Xenopus tropicalis: one gene and its partners. The protein of the gene in region 1 purifies or fractionates together with the protein of each later gene. This does not show direct contact. Links are inferred from orthologs where the notes say so. Each region holds a gene or a part of one and is shown in the gene's direction. Other genes may lie near its edges.

What was found. Proteins that work in one complex are often made in the same cells at the same time.
Region 2: the proteins of rpa2 (region 1) and cdc45 purify together in Homo sapiens (affinity purification with western blotting; 3 studies listed by BioGRID and IntAct, with this or other methods). This does not show direct contact. The link is inferred for Xenopus tropicalis from reciprocal best matches to the Homo sapiens genes RPA2 and CDC45.
Region 3: the proteins of rpa2 (region 1) and hltf purify together in Homo sapiens (affinity purification with mass spectrometry, with the first as the bait; 3 studies listed by BioGRID). This does not show direct contact. The link is inferred for Xenopus tropicalis from reciprocal best matches to the Homo sapiens genes RPA2 and HLTF.
Region 4: the proteins of rpa2 (region 1) and cdk7 purify together in Homo sapiens (affinity purification with mass spectrometry; 3 studies listed by BioGRID and IntAct, with this or other methods). This does not show direct contact. The link is inferred for Xenopus tropicalis from reciprocal best matches to the Homo sapiens genes RPA2 and CDK7.

Annotation. Positions count from the first base shown.
Region 1 is NC_030678.2:79,453,982-79,460,475, forward strand, and holds the start of rpa2 (replication protein A 32 kDa subunit), read left to right. Parts: upstream 1-2,263; 5' UTR 2,264-2,290; coding exon 2,291-2,306; intron 2,307-3,040; coding exon 3,041-3,147; intron 3,148-3,511; coding exon 3,512-3,613; intron 3,614-5,245; coding exon 5,246-5,359; intron 5,360-5,479; coding exon 5,480-5,554; intron 5,555-5,750; coding exon 5,751-5,864; intron 5,865-6,494. UniProt on the Homo sapiens protein: As part of the heterotrimeric replication protein A complex (RPA/RP-A), binds and stabilizes single-stranded DNA intermediates that form during DNA replication or upon DNA stress.
Region 2 is NC_030677.2:154,229,177-154,235,537, forward strand, and holds the start of cdc45 (cell division control protein 45 homolog), read left to right. Parts: upstream 1-2,593; 5' UTR 2,594-2,707; coding exon 2,708-2,758; intron 2,759-2,841; coding exon 2,842-2,901; intron 2,902-6,145; coding exon 6,146-6,238; intron 6,239-6,361. Other genes in the region: ufd1 (ubiquitin fusion degradation protein 1 homolog), read right to left, coding at 711-743, 1,855-1,987, 2,359-2,361. UniProt on the Homo sapiens protein: Required for initiation of chromosomal DNA replication. Core component of CDC45-MCM-GINS (CMG) helicase, the molecular machine that unwinds template DNA during replication, and around which the replisome is built.
Region 3 is NC_030681.2:122,179,793-122,185,704, reverse strand, and holds part of hltf (helicase-like transcription factor), read left to right. Parts: intron 1-1,011; coding exon 1,012-1,104; intron 1,105-1,327; coding exon 1,328-1,425; intron 1,426-3,396; coding exon 3,397-3,540; intron 3,541-3,887; coding exon 3,888-4,026; intron 4,027-5,912. UniProt on the Homo sapiens protein: Has both helicase and E3 ubiquitin ligase activities. Possesses intrinsic ATP-dependent nucleosome-remodeling activity; This activity may be required for transcriptional activation or repression of specific target promoters.
Region 4 is NC_030677.2:186,232,533-186,238,877, reverse strand, and holds the start of cdk7 (cyclin-dependent kinase 7), read left to right. Parts: upstream 1-2,577; 5' UTR 2,578-2,624; coding exon 2,625-2,708; intron 2,709-4,897; coding exon 4,898-4,957; intron 4,958-5,599; coding exon 5,600-5,633; intron 5,634-5,861; coding exon 5,862-5,929; intron 5,930-6,345. UniProt on the Homo sapiens protein: Serine/threonine kinase involved in cell cycle control and in RNA polymerase II-mediated RNA transcription. Cyclin-dependent kinases (CDKs) are activated by the binding to a cyclin and mediate the progression through the cell cycle.

The DNA of each region.
Region 1 (6,494 bases):
ACCCATTTGTAAATCTCGAAAAATATCTAGAAGTAAAAGTTGATTTTTTTCTCAAAATTGTTAAGTAAATGTGCCCCAAAATCTTAGTGCCATAATCTTGACAACTAAAGGCAACAGTTTTTGTCCACCTAATGCTTTTTTTAGTCAATTCTGCCAAAGATAAAACATAAAAATTAGAAAATATATTTGATTCATTATTTGGTTAAATCGTTTGTGGTATGTACCAAAATAAAAAATAATTGATGGGTAGTGTATACCTGCAATACAGTCTACAGTTTTATGTTTTTATATTACTGACTGTGGCTTCAGTTTGTTCACTCTGTCCGTCATGCTTCTCTATCACACATTTATCACACATTTTATGTATATATATATATATATATAACTTTATTACAAGGGTACGCGGCGCTGTACAATCTTACAATATACACAATTACACACAGGGAGGACAAGTGATCCATACCCCCCAACTGTCCCGCTTTTCGCGGGACAGTCCCGCTTTTTATGGCGCGTCCCGCTGTCCCGGGTAGTTCCATGAATGTCCCGCATTGCGGGACATTCATGGAACTATCCGGCACAGCAGGATGCCCTTGCTGTAGCCGGATGTTCTTGCTTCGTCGGCTGCTTTTTATAATGTTGCGCCTGTGGGTGTGACGTCATTACGCACGGGGCGCAACCTTATAAAAGGACCTGTCGCGCAGCGCAAGGAGAGGCATAACGAAGCCACAGACAAAGCGCCTATGGGAGGTACTGTGTATAGGGGGCTACTGTGTATTGGGGGCTACTGTGTATTGGGGCTACTGTGTATTGGGGGCTACTGTGTATTGGGGCTACTGTGTATGGGGGGCTACTGTGTATTGGGGGCTACTGTGTATAGGGGGCTACTGTGTATTGGGGGCTACTGTGTATTGGGGCTACTGTGTATGGGGGGCTACTGTGTATTGGGGCTACTGTGTATGGGGGGCTACTGTGTATTGGGGGCTACTGTGTATGGGGGCTACTGTGTATTGGGGGCTACTGTGTATTGGGGGCTACTGTGTATTGGGGCTACTGTGTATGGAGGGGCACTGTGTATTGGGGGCTACTGTGTATGGGGGGCTACTGTGTATGGGGGGCTACTGTGTATGGGGGGCTACTGTGTATTGGGGCTACTGTGTATGGGGGGCTACTGTGTATTGGGGGCTACTGTGTATTGGGGGCTACTGTGTATGGGGGCTACTGTGTATGGGGGCTACTGTGTATGGGGGGCTACTGTGTATGGGGGGGCTACTGTGTATGGGGGGGCTACTGTGTATGGGGGGGCTACTGTGTATGGGGGTACTGTGTATGGGGGGGCTACTGTGTATGGGGGTACTGTATATGGGGGGGCAAAACTGGTACTTAGTTATAACTCACTGCCTTCTCTCTATACTTTTTTTCCTTAGGTCATTCAGTATGAGGGTATAGCACATTTTCGTCTGCACTGCCATTTTATCTGTATAAAAGGGGTATTTTTTTTAAATGGGGTGTGGTAATTGGGGCATGGCCACAAAAGGGGGCGTGATCAAAAAATTTGCCAAATCTTTTTGTCCCTCTTTTCATTTTTCAAATGTTGGGAGGTATGGTGATCTAATAAATAAATATATATAAATGCACAGGGAGTAAGTGCCATGTGGTATGAGACACAGTAGTAATGAGGTCCCTGCCCCGTAGAGCTTACAATCTAAGTTTATGGTACATTTATGGTTTAAAATGTTTTTTTTTTTCATTTGCCTGATGTTGTTTGGTTATTTTACTATAGCTTTATGCATTTAAAGCTCTATCAAATAAATTTTCGGGCAGCTTTAATATTAATAACTAACTTAAGCTGTTGCTCTCCAGATCCAGACAGATGATACACATACCCACAAGATAAAAAAAAAAGTCACCAAATGCGTGAAAAAAGAATAACAACATCCTTCACAAGCTTCAAAAAACACTATTATGGTTATTTATGACAGCAAATACGAAGACATTTTTAGTTAAAAAGAAGCCTTAGCCCAAATCAAAAACGGCTATTACTGTAAACGTTACAATGCGCCGCCAGTAGTAAACATGGACGGCTCTCCTGTGACGTCGTTTCCCGCGACAACATAGGCAGCTTCCAATATGGTCTCAGCCACCGAATTACGGAACTGCAGCAGTGGTTTTATTGGCTGAGACGGCTGAGCATATCGTGGCCTTCAGATTTGATTGGCTGGGCTGTGGAGCGCGCCAAGAGTCCTTGTCAGGAACAGCGGAGATAGAGAAGTAGCAAAAGAGCTGCAGAAACATGTGGAACAACCACGGTAAGGGTATTAGACAAGTAAAATAGAATGTGCAATATATATATTGCGCTATTTTTGTGTTTAATTGCGTGGTGAAAGGAACAAGGCGTTGTAGTAATACTTCGTCAGGAATGATGAAACATATTCGGTGCGCAACGAAATCTGGTTAGCGTAGTGATGCTGCAACACTCAGTTAAATGTATTAGTTCTAGTGGCGAAGCATATTACTGCGCCATGAGTCCTCTTCTGAACGAAATAAAAATACAAAGGTGGGTATACACGTATATGGCTCCTTGTGTAGGAACTGTACATTAGGCCCATGGGCCGACAGGTTGGAGGACTCTAGGATTTGGCCCATTTATAGTTGTGGCACTATCGTTGCAGTAAAAAAAAAAAGTTATAGAGGGGTATTCAAAAATAATATTTTAAATATTGTATTTACCTTTTAACTCCTATAAGGAAAACATATTTTACCTTTATCCAGTTAGGATTTTAGCTGTCTGTATGGCTAAACATTAGGCATGATTATGTATTATTTGGATTACTTTCACTTATTTGTAAGCCTAGGATAATAGGGAGGGGCGTACTATAATTGTTATCCTTTATTTTGTAGCACTGGCATATTCCACAGAGATTATACATCAGACCCTGCTGCAGTGGAACATACAATACATGTTTTTATTACATTAACATATATTCTTCGAAATTTTATAAGGACCCAATTAACCTGCTTTTTTTTTTTTTTTTTGTCGCAGGTGGATTTGATGGTGGGTATGGTGGCTCTGGCATGGGAGGAGGAGGTTATATGCAGTCTCCAGGAGGCTTTGGGTCTCCTGCACCCACTCAGGGAGAGAAAAAATCGGTATGTTGCCTATATTATAATATCAAATTGCACATTTGAATATCCTTTCTAAATTTCTCTAGGGCCTGATTTAATAGATGCTGATATGATTTAGCTTTAAAAGTACTACTGATAACATGACAACATTACTGTAATGGGATCTCTTATTTATAAATCCAGAAAAAATATTGAAATGCTATATTCCATAGGGTCCTCTTAAATAATTGTTTTAATTTTCTTTATTTATTTTCCATAGAACTTTTGGTTCAATTCCATTTCTTTTTGCTAGTATTTAGAAAGTAGGCTTAATTGATGTTGATATATTTGCAAGATATAAGCTGAGGTTTTCTTGGAAAATATATATTGTACTGTAATTATTTTTCAGAGGTCCAGGTCACAGCAAATAGTGCCATGTACTGTGTCACAGCTACTGTCAGCAACACAAAATGACGAAATGTTTCGGATAGGAGAGGCTGAACTTTCACAGGTTAGTATCACTCACTGTCTCGTATGTATGTATATATGTGTATGTATGTATGTATGTATGTATGTTTGTGTGCGTGTATAATAGCAAACTAACTGAACAGTTATGTCTCATGTCTCCTCTTCTTCAAGTTGCTGGCTATCAAACAGGTTAGAGAGCTATAAAGGAGGAAGTTGTGTTCTGTCTATTATGGTAGTCATCTATTCACTCCAGCCTTTATAGCAGTGTTCCCCAACCAGTGGTTAGTGAGCAACATGTTGCTCACCAACCCCTTGGTTGTTGCTCCTCATTGGCCTCAAAGTAGGTGCTCATTTTTGAATTTCTGGCTTGGAGGCAAGTTTTAATTGCATAAAACTCAGTGTTAAGTGAAACAGAGCCTTCTACAGACTGCTAGCCAGCAAAGGGGCTACCAAATAGCAAATTATAGCTTTTGTACCCCCAAGAACTTTTTCTATGCTTGTGTTGCTTCCCAAAACTCTTTTACCATTTGAATGTGGCTCACAGGTATAAAAGGTTGGGGATCCCTGCTCTATAGATTAGGTTTTTGGCTAACTATATTCTGCATAGCTTTTCTGTTTTATTATATTTATAGCCAGTTTTATTTTTGCACTGAACTGTTCCCTTAAGATCAGCACACATTTTTTTGTCTACTTATTGCTGTGTGTAGGCAAAATCCCTTCACCCTTATCTGAATGTGCCTGTTATAGTAAGAGATCAAATTGTCATCTTTGATAAGGAAAACCATAGGTTACTTGGAATGCAGTTTATGTTTATATCCTAAATCTTAGGTACAGGTATGGGACCTGTTATCCAGAATGCTCAGGACCTGGGGTTTTCTAGATCTTTCCGTAATTTGGATCTCCATACCTTAAGTCCGCTAAAAAATTATTTAAACATTAAATAAACCCAGTAGGGTTTTTTTTGCCAGTAAGGGTTAATTATACCTTAGTTGGGATCAAGTACAAGGTGTTGTTTAATTATTACAGAGGAAAAAAAGTTTTTTTAAAATGTGAATTATTTCCTTAAAAGGAAGTCTATGGGAGATGGCCTTTCGATAATTCGAAACTTTCTGAATAACTGGTCCTATGCCTGTATTTCTTTTTACATCTCACTCGAGCCACTGTTTTGCAGTGGTCTTTGTGCTACCTCAGAGAACAGATAATGCAGGTTCTAACTATAACAGGAAGAGGTGTTTTGGTAAAAGACACAGCTCTTCCCCTTCATTGACTGATGTGACTTAGAACACGTGCATGCCACTGTTTTTTTGTGTGACCCCCAGTGTATCATATGAGTTGAGGTGCTTTATAAGGAATTATCCATGTGTTGTGTGTTGAATAGTTGTATAGGTATAGTTCCCCTTTAATATATGGTCCTGTTATGCATAACCCCTTAATATTATTTCGCTTGAAAGAAGAATAGTGATCCAATAAATACCTTTTTACTAGTCGGCTATTGGGAAGATTGTGCATTTAGGTGCCTATATACCCTTGGTGGAATGTGAACTTGAAATACTTTGTTGTTGTTCAAAGAGGAACCAACAAGTAATGTAATGTGCACCATATCTCTTGAAATAGATATGCCTATGCTAATATTTTTTTTATGAAAGTATGTTTTTCTTCTTTTTTTTTTTTTTAGGTTACTATAGTCGGCATTGTCAGGCATGCAGAAAAAGCTCCGACAAATATTCTTTACAAAGTGGATGATATGACTGCAGCACCAATGGATGTCAGACAGTGGGTGGACACAGATGTAAGATATTACTGTCCTGTTTCAACTAGATTTCTTTATATTTAAACCATGGACAATTATATAACTGCTTCTAGTTTTACCACTGTAAAATGTGCAAAGTCCCAATCATTTTCTTTGCAGGAGGCAAGCTGTGAAAATATGGTGGTCCCTCCAGGGAGTTATGTAAAAGTAGCTGGTCACCTTCGTTCCTTCCAGGTAATTATTTTAATGAAGCTTTTACTTCTGGAACAACATTATTTTTGTTAGAAAATTTTCTTCATGAAAGCACTAGCTGTCCTAGTGAAAATACTGTAGCAAGGCAGAGCAGAGAATAAAATTTATATTTAGCCAAAAAAGAAAATGGAGGACTGGAAAATGTCACTGAGTATTTAAAATTTGTATATCCTTCCAGAACAAGAAAAGTGTTGTTGCATTTAAGATTGCTCCTGTTGATGATATGAACGAGTTTGTTTCTCATATGCTGGAAGTTGTTCACGCTCACATGACCATGAATTCCCAGGGAGCGGTAAGTTAAAATTAACTCTTTACCCTGCTCTTAAACAGCTGGTTAATAGGCAGAATTCAAAGTAATGATCAGGGAAGCATACTTGTAATTTCTAGTCATCTTTTATTTTTGTTTATAATTTGCTGGTTCTCTGGTAAAATCAAAGAAAGGTAAAAACTAAGTAAGCTTTAACAGAAAGGTCTATGTAAATACACTTCTCTGAAAAAAGATTAGTTGTGTCTGTAATTCCTGTGCCAGAGACACGCAGCTTTCTGTTCTCTGCTCTTTCCTGCTCCCCCTCCCTCAAGAATGCTAAGAACTCACTCCCCCCCCTTAGGAATGTGGATATGAGCCAATCAGCAGGACGCTAACTTACTAAGTTAGTCTAAGTCTAACTAACTGAGCATGTACAGTTTGTTCTGCATGTCTGGGCAGGAGTGAGCCATTATGGGAATCTTTTTTACACAGCTCAGCGTTTTTTCTTCCGGTTTGGCTTCAGATCTTCTGAACAGGTGAAATATGGGGAAACTTAAAGGAACTGTAACACAATTTTTTAAAATTCAAAATATCTTTTTAAAATACTTTTATTAGAAAATATATCATGGAAAAATTACAAAAGTATAAGTGGTTTTCTTGAAAATTAACCTTTCC
Region 2 (6,361 bases), on another chromosome or scaffold:
AAACTAATCTGATTTTGAAACAAATACACAGGTTCTCTAGCATCAGCTTTTAAAGATTTGTATTTCATTTGGAAAAAGTAATGTTAACATATCAAAGAGAATGCATCCACAGAAAATCCACGGTAAGCAGTCACACTGTTTTTCACAATACTACCTGCTGTAGACAGATCAGCTTTGGAAAATTGTGACATTTTCATGTACACCTTTATCAGCCGGTTTAGAATGTGTGCCCCTGTCACTTCTTTGCTCAGTCAAAGGGTAAGTAAAACCCAACGGACTCTGGTATATGCCATTATTATGCCAGAATTACAAACAGCATAAGTGTAGCGATGCAGCAGGCATATTTCCCTGGTAATGCTGAGGCAGAAGTGTTTGGGCCCTCTGATGCACTAAGGCTAATGCCACACGGGCGTATTTTTGGCAAGCTGAAAAACGTTTGCCGAGAATACGCCCTGCTACTGTCGATTTGGCCTACCTTGTGCCTGCACCCGAATGAATGGAATACGCTCCAAGACTTCATATTTTCGGCTACATGTTCCTGCACCGTATCGTATTTCATTCATTAGGGTGCAGGCACAGGTAGGGGCATTTTTTAGCGTATGGTGCGTATTCTTAGCAAGTGTTTTTTGGCTTGCCGAAAATACGCTCCATATGCTACATGTGGCGTTAGCCTAAGATTTAATCAAGTAATCCAGGCAGAGCATACTTACTGAGTTGATCTAAAGCAGATGGAGGCATGATAACTGAAAAAAAGAAGAACAAGAAAAGTTACAGTAGTATAGTCTGTGACACACCATACACTATACACATTACTTCCAGTGACCCTTTTTCAAAAATGAATAAAGAATCACTGAAAGTGCTCCACTTTTTAAAGACTGAATTATCTCCTTTGACTAGAATTTTTGTTTTTCCTCACTCATGAAAGGACCAGTAAAACAAAAAACAAGAAAAGGTTTTATCTGTATGTAAATATAATATACTATTACCCTGCACTGGTAAAAAGTGTATGTTTGCTTCAGAAACACTACTACAAGTTATATGAAGTATATGGCACAACCAAAAGAATAGGGTAAAAAGGCACACATCTACACAGCAGAGTACAATGGTGCTGTTTTTACACAGCATAATAAACATGGGTCAAATGCCATTCATTCTTTCTACAGAACAATTGATTGAAAACCTCTTATATAATATAGAACCTATAATACTTAATGCTCAGGACCAGGGGTTTTTCCTGTACAAGCGGTCATTGTGTAATTTGGATCTTCATGCCTTAAGTCTGCTCAAAATGTATTTAAACATAATATACCAAATAGGATTGTTTTGTCTCTAATAAGGTTTGATTATATCCTAGTTGGGATTTAGTACAAGTACTGATTTATTACAGAGAAAAAGGAAATTATTTTCTTAAATTTTAATTATTTAATTAAAATGCAGCCTATGGGCCTTGCCGTAATTTAGAGCTTTCTGGATAACAGGTTTCCGGATAACGGATCACATACCTGTACTGGATATGTGTGGCCAAGAATTACCATTGTGTCCACTTTCCACATCCTGTACAGTTTGCATGATGGTACATGATGATAACAGAGATCTCATGACCTGTGACCAGGCCTGGACTGGCAATGTGTGGATTCTGGCAAATTCCAAAAGGACTGCTGTTAGATGCCATAGACAAGCACTATTTAGTGAACTAGCAGGGGCCTTGAAATGCAAGGGCATATATTAAATCCCAGTCTGCTTGTGGCCCACAAAAAAGTGGTCTAGTTTATGATTATTAGATATTATTACCTATGTTTAAATAATTTTATCTTGAAAAAATTACAGTACAGCTCTTAGTCACATATTACTTACTTTTCCCTCCTTTCTCCACATCAGATCGGTCATTGGGACCCGCCAACATGGAAACGGAGTAGCAACGGTACTGAGTAGAGAAGCGGTTTTGGAAAACCCGGGGTATGGGGTGGTCAAACATGTTGAAAGAAAACTAAAAGAGAATGGAATTAGTGAGATTTTGGAGCTGTTATTTCATTAAGCAACATAAAGATACATCGTGATAATTTGAGAAATTCTTTTTTACTTTGTTTTTACCCTTTTAGTGTTATTTAAGTGATCTGTAAAAACAAAAACTATTACGGAAACATACATTCAGATTAAAATCATACTGTTATTTTTCATGTAAAAAAAATCTTACATACAACAACTCTTCTTTCCCATCCAAGATGCATATAGCAGTAAAAAACTAACCCCTCAGTCACTGTTCAGCCTCCATAAAACCTGGCAGGTAAATGGTGTTTTATGATGATATATAGGTATACATGACATGACGCTATCACAAATGTGGAAGACAGATCTTACCATTTTGTTACCGGCTTTCTCTTATTATCCCGGCGGACCTAACACTATCTTAGTCACCGTCCTTCCCGGAAGTAAATATAATTGCGAATCAGACGATCGGAACAAGAGAAACTACGAATCCCAAGAAGCAACACGCTAAAAGCGGAAGTTAATAGACCGCTGTCAGATATCGGGAAGCGACCAATTGGCTGCTAAACTGTAGGACGCAGAGGCGGGGTTTATCTTGCGCTGAGCCTTCACGGATTGGGCGGGGTTGGTGTATGTCACGACGAAACGGGCTGTTTGATTGGCCACCGCTGCTCTAAGGGATTTTGGCGCCAGTTTCGAGGGCAGCCGTCAACTTGTCGAGATGTTTGTGAGTGATCTCCGTAAAGAGTTTTACGACGTGATCGTTACCGAGGTGAGAAGGGTAACCGGGATAAAGGATTTTTTTTCCCAAATAAATGATATGACACCACTCACTGTCTCTTCTCTGATTTCCAGCGCGTTCTTCTCCTTGTTGCACCTGATGTTGATGCTCTCTGCGCCTGTAAGGTACTTCAGGTAAGAACAAACCAAAATTAAGTTTTTTTTCAACAATTTAAATCACCATACCTACTTAAAACAACATGTAACTATGAAATAAAGCCAATAGGATTGCTTTATCACTAACAAGTTTTTATGCAGCTTAGTTGCTGTAAAGTACAAGATACTGTTTTATTACAGAGAAAATGTAATTAAAAAAAAAGATTTTGCATAAAATTGACAATGGGAGATTTCTGCATATCTGGTTTCCATTAAACTCACAGTGCCCCTTGCACAGATCCGACAGTATAAACACTTCATCCCCACATATAAAGCTGGTCATACCACCTAGTTTGCCAAATGAGTGGATCTTTGTCCCATATGTCACAGCACCACACTGATTGTTAGGCCTTCGACCAATGATTGGATCATAATGGCTGCTAATGCAGGCTGTTGGGAGAGGTCCACATCAATACGTATGTGGTGCTCTTCCCAATGGGTTTTTTTTTTTTTCTACACTGCCTAATATGTTGGCCAGGTAAATATCAGGGATGAAGTCGGAGAGGACCCATGTACCGGTAAATACAACTTATTTTATTTCCCACCAGATAATGTGCATGGTACCAACAGTGTTGCAGCTCTTGAACCATTTAGGGTCTGCTACTAAAACACTGTTACTAAAACAATGTAAAGTGTACTAGTGAGTATAAGTTACCAATGATAGAAAAACCTAGAAAGAAGGATAAATATTTCATTTCTGAAATCTGAACACTTGCCCCAAGTTGGTTCTATTATTCCTCCATCTCCAGCCTTTTGCCCAAATGAAAACATTTTATAGTGTAAAATTCTTGTGAAAGTTTTGCATTTGCTACATATAAATAGTGCATCTGTGTAATGGTGGATACTATGATTTAACTTTTATTTTTACCATAACTACGTAGTCATATTTTTTGGTTTTGGTCAAATGCACCTTAGAAGTTTAGTCCAAACCCTTATTAGCACATTTACAAAATATTGCAACAATTGTGAACAAATATTTGTTCTATTCAATTGTCCAGAGTGGTAATGTGCTTGGTCTTAAATTTTCCAATTCTTCCCCCTTTATTAAAGGAACAGTAACACTAAAAAATGAAAGAGCTTTAAAGTAATAAAAATATAATGCACTGTTGCCCTGCAATGGTAAAACTGGTGTGTTTGCTACAGTAACACTACTATAATTTATATAATAAGCTGCTGTGTAGTCATGGGGGCAGCCATTCAAGCTGTAAAAAAGGAGAAAAGGCACAGGTTACATAGCAGATAACAGATAAGTTCTGTAGAATACAATAGTGTTTTATCTGTTATCTGCTATGTGCCTGTGCCTTTTCTCCTTTGAATGGCTGCCCCCATGGCTACATAGCAGCTTATTTATATAAATTATAGTAGTCTTTCTAAAGTAAACACACAACTTTTACCAGTGCAGGGCAGCAGCACATTATATTTTAGTTACTTTTATACACTTTCATTTTTTGGTGTTACTGTTCCTTTAACTCAAACTGCCCTATCACCTTGGCTGATATCATAACATCGGGCAGTGTGCTCTAGAAACACTATCCCATCAAAGATGAAGACCAGGTTTCTAGAGCCCAGCTGCTGGACAGTGATAACCTGCACTTGAAGTAGTGAGCCATTTTTTGGGCCAAACCAGCTCTTTAAAGTCATGTGATTTTAATAACCATTTAGTTTAGGGGAATTAAAAAATCTGCAAACAGTGCTAGGATAATCCAAAATCCTGGATTTGGTGCATGCCTCTCCTTAATGCATTAAAGGTACCTGCCATTTAAAAATCTAGCACCAAAAAAGCATAAAATATGTAGTCTTAGCACTTTAAATATAGGCTGAAAACTGTTGATTTTTCTTAGTGAACTGGTAGACTATTTAGCATTTTTAAGAAATTTAAAAATGTCTAAAAAGTAGTTTTGTTTTTTTTTTCTCATTTTAAGTGTATGCTGGCCAAATTACCCACCAAGTAAACCCATCATTTGATACACCCTGGGTGTACTAGTAAAGGGCAAACAAGTGCAAGATCATTTGTATTATACGACTAGTCACAAATGTTTAAAGTATTCTGGATGCATGGACATTAATTGATGTTTTAGGAGTTTTCTTTAAAGGACATGTAAACCCCACGCACAAACAGCCTCTTAGAAATCTTTTTTTAATACCTGTCACACTGGTTGTCCAGAGGTTAATAGAAAGGCTGCAGCATCCCATTAATCACTTAGATTTCCTTCTCCTCCTGTAACCCACTCAGCCCCCTCCCTCAGAGATTTGCTTTGACTTCTGGCTTGTGGGCATGCTCAGTTGTTCTAAGCTCCGATTACCAAACACGCTCTCCAGTCTAGCAGCCAATGAAGAGATGGCATTTCTGGGTCCCATAGAAGCTCAGGTCTAGCTGTCTGCTTCAATGTTTTTCTTCTAACCTCCTGTCCTGAGCTCAGCTTAAACAAAGCAGAACTTTTATCGAAGACAGTTCTGCCTGTGTGAGCCTGTATTCTTTATGAAATGTATGCTGAATTCGGGTCTGTGTGTGTATGTTTGCAGATATAAATGTATTTGATTATGTATCAGGAAAAATGGCCACTGGGTGAAAGCTGCTATTTGCTTTAGAAAAAATGTAATTGTGCTGATAAACAGAGGGGGATATATGCAGTGCAAATTATGCCATTTGGGTGGGGGAAGACGTGCCCACCTGATATATATTGTAGGCAAATGTAGGCTTTACATGTCCTTTAAGAATCTGTATACAACTAAATTGCCCCCTCCCTCATCTGCTATGTTGGACTGTTTTAACAATCAAAACAAATCCGGTGTAAGCAAAGCCTTAAATGGGAACTCCATTTTAAAAGTATATGTACATTTTAATATTGAAGCAATATGCCTTTTTATATTTTTTTCTGACTTATAAGAACTTAAAATAAAAATAAATTAAATAAAATCTTGATCTCCTTACAGACAAAGCATCAGTTCCCATAGTGTAATGCAACAATGCATTGTGGGAGTTGGTGTCTTAGCTGGAGGAACGGTGACTTGCTGCATTGTTTAAACTCTAGGGACAAGAACAAAACTTTTAGACAGATGATGCGTGCAATATCATTTAATTTAATTGGATAGCTGCTAAAAATAATTAACTATATAAGGCTGCACAATGACGCTGAAACCCCCTCATGTAAACAGAGATATGATTTTTGTATTAAATGTCTTCTCTGATAGCTTAACCAGTGTTAATCTTTTTTGTGCACAGGCATTATTTCAGTGTGATCATGTACAGTATACCTTGGTCCCAGTCTCTGGCTGGCAGGAACTTGAAACATTGTTTCTTGAACATAAAGAACAGGTAATCTGTCATTCTTGTACTGTTTCTTTTCCAATTCTCATTTTATAGCATATGTAACCTCACCAGTGCTAGGTGTCTAGTTTGGCTGCATCTTATATCTGTTATACAGTCTGCAATTTTATT
Region 3 (5,912 bases), on another chromosome or scaffold:
GAAGGCAGAACTGGGTGTTGCCATAGTGTTCTAGCATGATGCTGGAGACATGGCCGATCAGACAGCCAAAGACTAAAATCTCAAAGATTGCACAGAAAGATACTAATATTGCACAGAAAGTTACTGTATCAAGCACAATTCTGCATTAAAAAAGTCAGTTTATAATGGTCCTTTAGGTCAATTGCAGGTGGGGCTAATTCTGATACTTTAAATGCCGTGTTTTAACTGTCCAAAGCACCCGCTGATAGGCTTCAATGTAAATTGTGGTGTTTGTACAAGTGCTGACACAATCAGTCTATCATTGGCTGCACTGGGCACCTTGGCACCACATGTTCATTCTACTAAAAAATATGGAACTTAAAGTGTCTGAAGTCTGCCATTGCCATTATGTGTGTATATGGTTTAAGCGGTCGTTCTTAATTATACAGATCACATAACATACCTAAGCTATTGCTTTTATTTAACAGCAGTTCTGTTAAAAGTTCTTTGTATTCCGTGTTTTCATTGGCTGCTAAAATTGTTTTCAAAAGTTCCTTGTTTAACCTCTTTCTACTGATGAGGCTTTTTCTCCATCTCCTGTCAGCACTTCATGTTTACTGTGCTCTTTGTGACTATACTCAAAGCATACACTGTTAAACATATTTATACTTCTATTTGTACAGTGTTGGCAGCAGCTCTCTCCACGCTCAAACAAATGCTGCATGCAGATTGGACTGACATTTTAATTTCTTGGCTCAGAGTTACACAGTTTAGATCATTAAACCAGTACATGCCTTCCAGTCATTTTAAAGTTCATTTATAAAGAATCCAGCTTCAGATAAACCCCCTTTATTACACGGCAGATCAGATAATCAGCCCTTAGCTAAAATGTAATAAATCTAGAGCAGAGGGAAATGCTTGACCTTAAACTTTTTGTAGGTATAAAAAATTTAGCATCATACAAAAGATTATTAGTAGTAAGTAAATTCACTAGATATTGTTTTGTGTATACAAAATTATTTTGCAATACAGCTCCTGCCGAATGCACTCTCCATGATGATGATCTGTTTGCTAATGCTCTTTTTGGGTTACCAACTGCAGTGCGGAAAAAGAAAAACAAAAAAGGTACAGCTTGTATTCTAAATCCATATTTGATGAGGGAACATATTATGAGATGTCGGTACCAGTAAAGGATTCCATATTTGTATAATATATGACCTCATTGTAACCTTTTTCCCAGTATACTTCAATGTGTGACTATTCGATTTCATAGTTAGCCTCATTATCAGTGCTAATGCTAAGACTTCCATACAGGTTTTATTCAGCTAATACGTTTTCCCTTTCTTAGGGGTCACAGTTTCACAGTCCATTTCAAAGGCTGGACCAGAAGGACAACGAAGAACAACACTTATAATATGTCCATTATCTGTTCTAAGTAACTGGATTGTATGTATTTCCTATATTCCATGGCTTTATATATATATATATATATATACTAAATATATATACTAAAGGATAGGTTTCTGTCCTTGTATGAAATATCTACTGTTAAATTTGTTAGGCTAGTGCCACACCATAAAATAAACACAGGCTGAGAATCTGGCCCTATGCCCCTAACTGTGTCACTGTGTCAGGCCAGATGCATGCACACAGAGCAGAGCTTCATCATGGAAGCGTGGTGAGTATACATTTCTCTTACAGTCATCTGTGGGACACAGGGACCATGGGGTATAGCATCTACCAGCAGGAGGCAGGACACGAGAAGAGGAAGAAGAGGATGAAACCCCTCCTCCCTGCTGCTATACCCCCCTTCACTTTTTGCCTTAACCAATTTTTTTCTAGTGTCCCACAAGGAGACAAGATCAACTTCACTCATCTGAATTTTCTTCGGCCAGATTCAATCTGGCAACAGGGGTTGACCCAGAGGTCTCCAACAGGATCCGATGCGTTCCACAGATGCATCTCATTGGACAAGATCATCAGCCAGGCGACCGCGGGAAAGAGCACTCTCCTCCCACAACCAAATAATCATACCTCTTTTCGTTTGTGGACATTTCTTTTGCTAACGATCTTCAAAGGCATCATCCTCTAGGGATTATTTATCCCAAAACTCCTTCAAGCCTCGCTTTGAAGGCCGTCCCAAATACTCCTGGCAGAGCAGATAAGACCTCAACAGCATGACTATCCTCATGGAGATCTTGCTGCGGTCGGAGGCAGACTTCTCCTCTTTCGAGACCCGTGGCTTAGTTTTACCACAGACCCATGAGTACACAAAATAGTCACCTCAGGTTATCGTCTCGAATTTCCTTCAAAACCGCAAAATCGGTTCTTCATGTCACGACTTCCTCCGGATCCCCACAAACAAAATGCACTCCTTTTGATTGTCCATGACATATTAGACAAAAGAGTGATTATTCCACTACCCCCAAGCGACAAATTTCGAGTTTTCTACAACAACCTCTTCCTTGTCCCAAAAAAGGAAGAATCCTTTCGCCCCGTCCTGGACTTGAAGAAACTCAATGCGTTCATTCTATTCCCTCGCTTCAAGATGGAGTCTCTACGATCTGTTATCGCAGCCATGAACCCAAAAGAGTTTCTAGTGGCCCTGGACATCAAAGATGCCTACCTCTATGTGCCCATTTTTCCTCCCCACTGGGCAACGCACCCCCCCCCCCCGAAAGCGGATTCTCCAGATTTCTCTCTGCCTACATGTATATAGTTAATAGTTGATTGTTAATCTTGATCATTCTTTGTTAACAAAACTGGTTAAGGCAGGAAGTGAAGGGGGGTATAGCAGAAGGGAGGAGGGGTTTTGTCCTCTTCTTCCTCTTCTAGTTTCATGCCTCCTGCTGGTACATGCTATAACCCATGGTCCCTGTGTGCCACAGACTTCCAGAGATAAAAGGATTTTAACGGTGAGTATCACAAAATCTCCTTTTTGGCTCCAAAATCCACTTCATTGGCCTGCACCTGGGCCAACGCAGTGGCCAGCCATTGTAAACCTAGCACTCCAAACGTCAGGGTCCTGTAGGTTATTTCATCTGGCTCCTGTTTGATGGTATTTAGACAGCCGTGCAAAATGTGTTTTTTTTCTGTTTCCTTAGAGTTGGTTGGGTTAAAATTCACATAAACCACTTGGAAAACGAAGGCATGTTTATAGCACTCTTCAAGGCCTGAAAATGGGGGGTCATTTAACCTAATGCACAGCTGTAAATACAGTTTGAGCAGCTGCAGGTCATATAAGAAATCATTGCAATAAGTGTCTCTCCAGCTATCTATCTAGCAATCTATCTAACTATAGATTGCTGCATAAATCTCTGATGGTAACTGATAACCCACCCTATCCTTGTCTCTACTTCTAAGATGTTTGATTCCTTTTTTGCCATTAATATTCATTAACTCCTGTTATCGTTCTAGGATCAGTTTGAACAGCATATAAAACCAGAGGTGCATTTGAATATTTATATTTATTACGGTCCTGAACGTACAAAAGACCCTAAAGTCCTTTCAGACCAAGATGTTGTAGTAACCACATACAGTGTCCTAAGTTCTGATTATGGAGTAAGTATGTTGCCACTTTCCCTGGGTTTGTGTATAAAGTCTGGCCAGACAAAACCTATCAGTGTTTGGGAGAGTAGAAACTTTAGTGAGAAATTACTTTTGTACCTTTATGCTTGTAAAGAAGCCCTATGCCTAAGGCACCTCATTAAACACTATATTATGAATTACACTGATGCTCTCAGAAACAATTTTTGCATCTCCTCCCCTTAACTTTAAATCTTTTGTTAATAAGAAAGCTAGCCATTGTTCAGCTCAGCTTGGCTAGCCCACATTTGCCTAAAACCCTTAAGATTTTTCTACATTTGCATTTAAAATTCATTAAACAGGGATTTATTTATTTCTTTTAGAGCAGGAGTGAGAGCCCTCTGCACAAAGTGAAATGGCTGCGAGTGGTGTTGGATGAAGGGCACACTATACGAAATCCAAATGCACAGCAAACTCAAGCTGTACTTAGCCTGGAAGCCCAGAGAAGATGGATATTAACTGGTAACATAAATATGATATTCAGCAATTACAAACATTTTATTCTCAGACCCAATATATTAAACATCTTTGTTAAACACATGGAGAATGGTAGCTTGGAAATGGCTAGTAACAGTTATCTTTGCTTCTGTGGGTGATGTAGCATATTTGTCCTGTAGTAAACAATGATAGCTTCTGATAGTCAGCTGTAAGTACTACTGATCTCTCTGTGAGTCCGTTGTCAGAGTAGAGGTGGCCATAGGTGGGCAGATTCTAGCTGCCTACATCTGTCCTTTAGACCGATTGGGCAGCTTATCTGCCCATGTAGAGGTACAAACAATGGGCCTGCCTGACCAACATCTGGCTTGAAATCGGGGAGATCTCGATCGGGCAGGTTTGATTAGGCCATTTGGGTCTCAACACTATTTTATTGAGTGATTGTGCATTTGCACCTGCGGTGTATGTTTAATCCTTGACTGACAACTGGCAAATTGTGTTCCAGCTGGAACAGTTTTATTTACATTAGATTATCAGTCAATTTGTGCTTTTGAAGACATGTTCTGTGACATGATCAGTACTATTTAGAAGCTGCAGAGAGTTGGGGGACTAATATTGGTGCAACATTCCATTTTCTAACTGTTCCAGTCTCACCTTGCTCATGTTACCCTGACTGCAAAGGTACACCGGCCAATTTCAGCTGCTGATATCGGTCCTTTAGACCGATAACGGCAGCTAATCTATTGGCCTCCCCAACCGACATCTGGCCTGAAATGGGGCAGATCCCGATCGGGCAGATTTAATTTTTCCCTCTGATCAGGGACCACATTGGCTTGTTGATGTGTTTCCCAGATGTATGCCTATGCCCGCTATTTCATTACGGATCAGGGACCATATGGGCTTGTTGATGTGGTCCTCGAACCGGCGGCGCCTATGCCTGCCCTAGGGCCAAACGAACGAATTAGCCCAATATCGTCCACCCATTATTAGGAGACGATCCGCTCACTTGGCAACCTCAGCAATTAGCCCAATATTGTCCACCTGTTATTGGGAGACAATCTGCTCGCTTGGCGACCTCGCCACCTTAAGGCAGGGCTGCACCATAGGGCTATTCAGTAGGTTTTTCCCCCTAGCCTGTGCAGTCAGGCATATACAGCCTAGGGTGCGTGTGCTAGATTATATTTTCAACCCCTTCTTCAGTGTTTTGTCCTGGTACATCTTAAAGGAACAGTAACACCAAAAAATGAACGTGTATTAAAATAATTAATATATTATATACTATTTCTCTGCACTGGTAAAAGTTGTGTGTTTTCTTCATAAACACTACTGCAGTTTATATAAATACCTTGCTGTGTAGCCATGGGGGCAGCCATTTAAATTGAAAAAAGGAGAAAAGGCACAGGTTACTAAGCAGATAACAGATAAGTAGCAGATTCCACAGTTTATCTGGTATCTTCTTATGTAACCTGTGCCTTTTCTCCTTTTTTCAATTTAAATGGCTGCCCCCATGGCTACACAGCAGCTATTTCTATTAACTATAGTAGACTTTCTGAAGCTAACATGCAACTTTTACCAGTGCAGGGCAAAAGTACATTATATTTTAATTATTTTAAAACATTTTTATTTTTTAGTGTTACTGTTCCTTTAACAGCAGACGCCACCCTCTCTTGTTCCAATAGAAACATTTCTGGGACATTTTGACCATTGCCCTTTTGGGCAATTACTATGTAAGCTACAGGGAGTCAGGCTTAGCTTGCTGGCAAAGTAACTGTCTTTCATAAAAAAATAAGATGACTGCTTTGAGCAGTAAATGGAAACTCTCATTCTGAATGTATGGAGCACTGATACTATATTTTACCATTGACAGTGAAATTTGTTCACAGAGAATATTCATGGTTGTTAGCTAGCTGTGT
Region 4 (6,345 bases), on another chromosome or scaffold:
AGAGAAGCTTCACTGGGTTGGAATGATAGCCTTATGTCTTCTTGGCTACTATGTAAAATAACAGCACTGTATAAAAAATTACCACTGTGTAGACTGGATCCTAAAGGACAGCAAGGACAGATATTTTACTAATGTGGAACTTGCTTTCCATATTGATAATAATATTCCATATGAGTCAGTGTATAGAATATTCAGCCTAGTATACTTCCCCTGGGTCTCCAGAAAAATCTTTTCCCTTCTATCCCCCCACCCTTTTTATTTTTGTAAATGTGTAGTTGGGTTGGATATATCTAATATTTAGTACCTAAGAATAGTACCCATGCAGATTGCGACAGACTTCGGAAATATTTGCAGGTAAAACCACAATAACTATGGAGACCTGTGACATCAGACGCCAAAGAAACAACCGTGTGGAGAGAACAGTATATGGGAAAGATACCTACTTGAGTCTGAGTAAGTTCCTGGACAATCTCATAGCCTATTAAAGGGGAAGGAAAGGCAAAGTCACTTGGGGGTGCCAAAATGTTAGGCACCCCCAAGTGACTTTAACCGCTTACCTTGTACCCCGGGCTGGTGCCCCTGTTAGGAGAAAATAGCACCAGCCCGGGGTAGCTGGAGCGCAGCGCTTCCTCCTTCCGCCTTCCACTTCCTAAACTGCCGGTGGCCGGGCATGCACAGTAGAGCGAAAAAGCCGACTTAAATGTTTAAGTTCGGCTTTTCACTCTACTGCGCATGCGCGCGCAGCGAAGCCGGAAGGAGGAAGCGCCGGCAGCTACCCCGGGCTGGTGCTGTTTTCTCCTGACAGCGGCACCAGCCCGGGGTAAAAGGTAGGCGGTTAAAGTCACTTGGGGGTGCCTAACATTTTGGCACCCCCAAGTGACTTTACCTTTCTTTTTCCTTTAATAGGAGTTGTAGTTAACTGTTGGGGATACCTCCATTTTAGTTTGTTTTATTCCATGTGGGAATAAAACCCAAGTAGACCAATTCCCTTGTTAAGGTACATTCGGTCATTGGATATATGGTGGTCTTAATCATTTTATTTGGTAGGTAAATATAGAACCGTGATTAATATGAAGGATTTTTATATTCCTGGGAAATCCTAATTTAGATGTACCCTGTATCTATACTATGCGGTATTTAAATTAAGGTGTGGAATCTCATTGTATATAAGGTGTATTTTAAATGTTTGGGAGAGTAGAAAGACCCACATCATTTTAATATAACTGCTCTATGTAGAACGTAACTGTCTTTGTATCTATACACCTGTTACCTGAGAAAATAAAGTGATCTGTGATTTTAATGCATATAGAGTACTTGTAAATTTGTGAGAAGCGCCAACTCTAAGTTAATTATAATGTGGAACACAACAGGAGCAAATTATTTCATTAGATTTATTTTATCATATAATTACAAATAACTATATATTTTACTAAGTCATATATATATATCATTATCCTTTATTCATAATGTATACATATCCGGCATCACTAACAGAGAATTCTCTGTTCTCCAGTTTCCTTCCTGCACTTCAAAACATAGAGAAGATTAAGTGGCTATTGAAAAAATGAGTCGCTGCCCCAGTGGAGCTTACACTCTAAAGGTCCATATCACACACACACTACAGTCAATTATTGTGTGGTGCTCTATGCACGCCGCAAAGCCCCCTAGATGCGGAATAAAAAAAATTGTCAGCTCTGGAGATAATGATCCAGTCCTGTTTTTTTGGACCAAATTCAGTTTCACACTAAGGGACGTATTTATTATGTGTAAAACTAACTCGCTGAGTAAAAACCTGTGTAAAATAAATGGAAAAGATCGCCGTCTGAACGCCAGATATTACGCCGTTATTTTCCATAAGTTCTGGTGAAAAAAAAAAAACGCGTAAAAAATGACGCCGTTTTTTCCCGCCTGTTTTACACAGCGAAGTGTGGTGAATTTTCTCGCTGTTTTTTACACAGCATAATAAATATGCCCCTAGATGATCATTTGAATTAAGGTCTCAAAAGGCCTGGAGTGGAATCATTATCTCCCTCATGTCATGTCTTATAAAGCTTTTGTTTCTGGCCTTAGCATATTATATATCCCAAAATGTGGCTGAGGCTTTTCTATTCAGGGGCTGTAACTTGGCTGCACAATGGGCACCTCACAGAATGAGCTCCTGGCAAAGCATTTCATGTCTCCATTATTTATTGCGGGAGAGTTTTAGCACTCAGTATTATCCGAGAAGTGCCCTTATGGCGTGCTCACAGCATTCACCTTTCCAACTTGATTTTAGCGCCGGGACCAAAGGAGAAAGGGCTAAGAACATACAGTGTTGCTTGGCTACAGCGCCTAAGGGCGGGGGGCTGCGTCCCAGCCAGGGGCGGCTCATTAGTACAGAATAAACCGTTACCCTCGAGAGAAGGAATTCTTCTGAGGAACAACCGGTATTTGCCACTGACACCATACAATTCCCGCCTCTCCCCTGTAGCAGGGATCTCCATAGCAACCGGTAGTTGTAGGAAACCAGATGCCTCTTACGTCACATTCGCGCTCCCGTCGCGCCGGTAGCAGCATGCAGTGGGCGTGGCCAAAGTGTTAAATGGCGATGTGACAGTGACCTGTGGGAAAGGGTTGCGCGGAGAATGGAGGGGATAATGGCGAGAGGGGTGGATGTGCGCTCCCGTTCCAAGCAGTATGAGAAGCTGGAGTTCCTGGGGGAAGGCCAGGTGGGTGCTGCTGCGTGGGGTTCCGGGTCCCTGTGGGACACGTGGGGCTTTACTACTGCGCAGAGATGCTTAGTGGCACTGTATGTAATGTCGTGTAATTGGATACTGCTTTACGGCTTTTATCCTGGCATTACATAGTGCTGTACCTGTAGTATCCTGGCATTACATAGTGCTGTACCTGTAGTATCCTGGCATTACATAGTGCTGTACCTGTAGTATCCTGGCATTACATAGTGCTGTACCTGTAGTATCCTGGCATTACATAGTGCTGTAGCTGTAGTATCCTGGCATTACATAGTGCTGTACCTGTAGTGTCCTGGCATTACATAGTGCTGTACCTGTAGTATCCTGGCATTACATAGTGCTGTACCTGTAGTATCCTGGCATTACATAGTGCTGTACCTGTAGTATCCTGGCATTACATAGTGCTGTACCTGTAGTATCCTGGCATTACATAGTGCTGTAGCTGTAGTATCCTGGCATTACATAGTGCTGTACCTGTAGTATCCTGGCATTACATAGTGCTGTACCTGTAGTATCCTGGCATTACATAGTGCTGTACCTGTAGTATCCTGGGGTTACATAGTGCTGTACCTGTAGTATCCTGGCATTACATAGTGCTGTAGCTGTAGTATCCTGGCATTACATAGTGCTGTACCTGTAGTATCCTGGCATGACATAGTGCTGTACCTGTAGTATCCTGGCATTACATAGTGCTGTACCTGTAGTATCCTGGCATTACATAGTGCTGTACCTGTAGTATCCTGGCATTACATAGTGCTGTAGCTGTAGTATCCTGGCATTACATAGTGCTGTACCTGTAGTATCCTGGCATTACATAGTGCTGTACCTGTAGTATCCTGGCATTACATAGTGCTGTAGCTGTAGTATCCTGGCATTACATAGTGCTGTAGCTGTAGTATCCTGGCATTACATAGTGCTGTACCTGTAGTATCCTGGCATTACATAGTGCTGTAGCTGTAGTATCCTGGCATTACATAGTGCTGTACCTGTAGTATCCTGGCATTACATAGTGCTGTAGCTGTAGTATCCTGGCATTACATAGTGCTGTACCTGTAGTATCCTGGGGTTACATAGTGCTGTACCTGTAGTATCCTGGCATTACATAGTGCTGTACCTGTAGTATCCTGGCATTACATAGTGCTGTACCTGTAGTATCCTGGCATTACATAGTGCTGTACCTGTAGTATCCTGGCATTACATAGTGCTGTACCTGTAGTATCCTGGCATTACATAGTGCTGTACCTGTAGTACCCTGGCATTACATAGTGCTGTACCTGTAGTATCCTGGCATTACATAGTGCTGTAGCTGTAGTATCCTGGCATTACATAGTGCTGTAGGTGTAGTATCCTGGCATTACATAGTGCTGTAGCTGTAGTATCCTGGCATTACATAGTGCTGTACCTGTAGTGTCCTGGCATTACATAGTGCTGTACCTGTAGTATCCTGGCATTACATAGTGCTGTACCTGTAGTATCCTGGCATTACATAGTGCTGTACCTGTAGTATCCTGGCATTACATAGTGCTGTAGCTGTAGTATCCTGGCATTACATAGTGCTGTACCTGTAGTATCCTGGGGTTACATAGTGCTGTACCTGTAGTATCCTTGCATTACATAGTGCTGTACCTGTAGTATCCTGGCATTACATAGTGCTGTACCTGTAGTATCCTGGCATTACATAGTGCTGTACCTGTAGTGTCCTGGCATTACATAGTGCTGTACCTGTAGTGTCCTGGCATTACATAGTGCTGTACCTGTAGTGTCCTGACATTACATAGTGCTGTACCTGTAGTATCCTGGCATTACATAGTGCTGTACCTGTAGTATCCTGGCATTACATAGTGCTGTACCTGTAGTGTCCTGGCATTACATAGTGCTTTTAGTCTGGCATTACATAGTGCTGTACCTGTAGTATCCTGACATTACATAGTGCTTTTAGTCTGGCATTACATAGTGCTGTACTTGTACTTTTTTGGCACAATTGTTATGTTTGGGTTTTATCTTCCCTTAAACTCTGGCAGGTTTCATAAATGGCAGTGACAGTAAAAGCTGCTCAGGCAGTCCCGTCAGTGTTGGCTCTGCTGTGACAGAGTAGAGAGGTGTATATAGGAACTGACAGGAAACTGTTTCCCACTCATATTGTTCTGAAATGTTCTGTTTCTCAGTTTGCCACAGTTTATAAAGCAAGAGACAAGAATACAGATAGAATTGTGGCCATTAAAAAGGTATGTTTCTTACTGCTTTCTTATTCACAGCTAAATGCTTTATTAATGTCATGTACCCTGCATGTTCTGCACATTATATGTTACATGTTCAATGTCGCAAACAAATTGTGCTTTTGCCATGCCCACACTGTAAATAAGGGTAAAAGGGTAAAAGACTATAATATTGGAGACTGATAGCATCTTGTAACGTGTATAAATGCAGCAGCCATCTTGTATAATAGGAGGGTTGTACAGGGCAGCATAGAAACACCCACATTAAATCTCAGGTGGCCCTACCCAACAGTAATTATACACATCCAGAATAATGTCAACAATAGCGAACAACACCGAAGGAGGAAATGGTACAAGAGAGAGGGTATATACTATTACAACACTAACACAACAGCAATAGGCTGCAGTATTGTGTTCATTAGTATATTATCAGATGATAATACATACCCATCCCCTGTATCTCTGTATCAAATGTTTGTGTGTGTGTGTATATGTGTATATATATATATATTGTTTGTTTGTTTGTTTTAGTAAAGCAGCAATCTGTTTTTTTTTAATTCACGTTTATAGGCATAGGCAAGACTGAACCAGAAAACATAGAATCTATGGCTCTAAGCTCTATTAAGGCACATGTGGTTTTTCTTGTTGCAGATTAAACTGGGACATAGAGCAGAGGCTAAAGATGGTAAGTGCTTATTAGCCAGCTACATATATTTCTACCATAAGAAAAGTAAATTACTAGGGGTAGATCTAGAATGTCAATATGGCGGCACTTGAACCAGTGTTGCCCTGGTTTTATTTTTATTGGTGCCCTTTTTTTTGCTTCATGGTTTTTTCATGTTTTTTTTTTTCTCATGGTTTAATTTTTGTGAATAGATTACAAGTCTTCTTATGACGTTTGTTTTTATTTCAGGTATAAACAGAACAGCACTCAGAGAGATAAAGCTGCTGCAGGAGTTAAGCCATCCTAATATCATTGGCGTGAGTAAAGTTTAAATAATGTTAACTCGGCACTAGAGCCAGGGCCGCCATCAGAAATCACGGGGCCCCTCACAAAAAAAATTTCTGGGCCCCCCTCCCACCAGTACAAAGGACTCACAGACATGAGCCATTGGTAGCCAGCAGGCCCCCCCTAATACATTGGTAGCCAGCAGGGCCCCCCCTAATACATTGGTAGCCAGCAGGGCCCCCCCTAATACATTGGTAGCCAGCAGGGCCCCCCTAATACATTGGTAGCCAGCAGGGCCCCCCTAATACATTGGTAGGCAGCAGGGCCCCCCCTAGTACATTGGTAGCCAGCAGTGCCCCACTAGTACATTGGTAGCCAACAGTGCCCCCCTTCCCCCAGTACATTTGTAGCCAGCTGTGCCCCCCTTCCCCCAGTACATTGGTAGCCA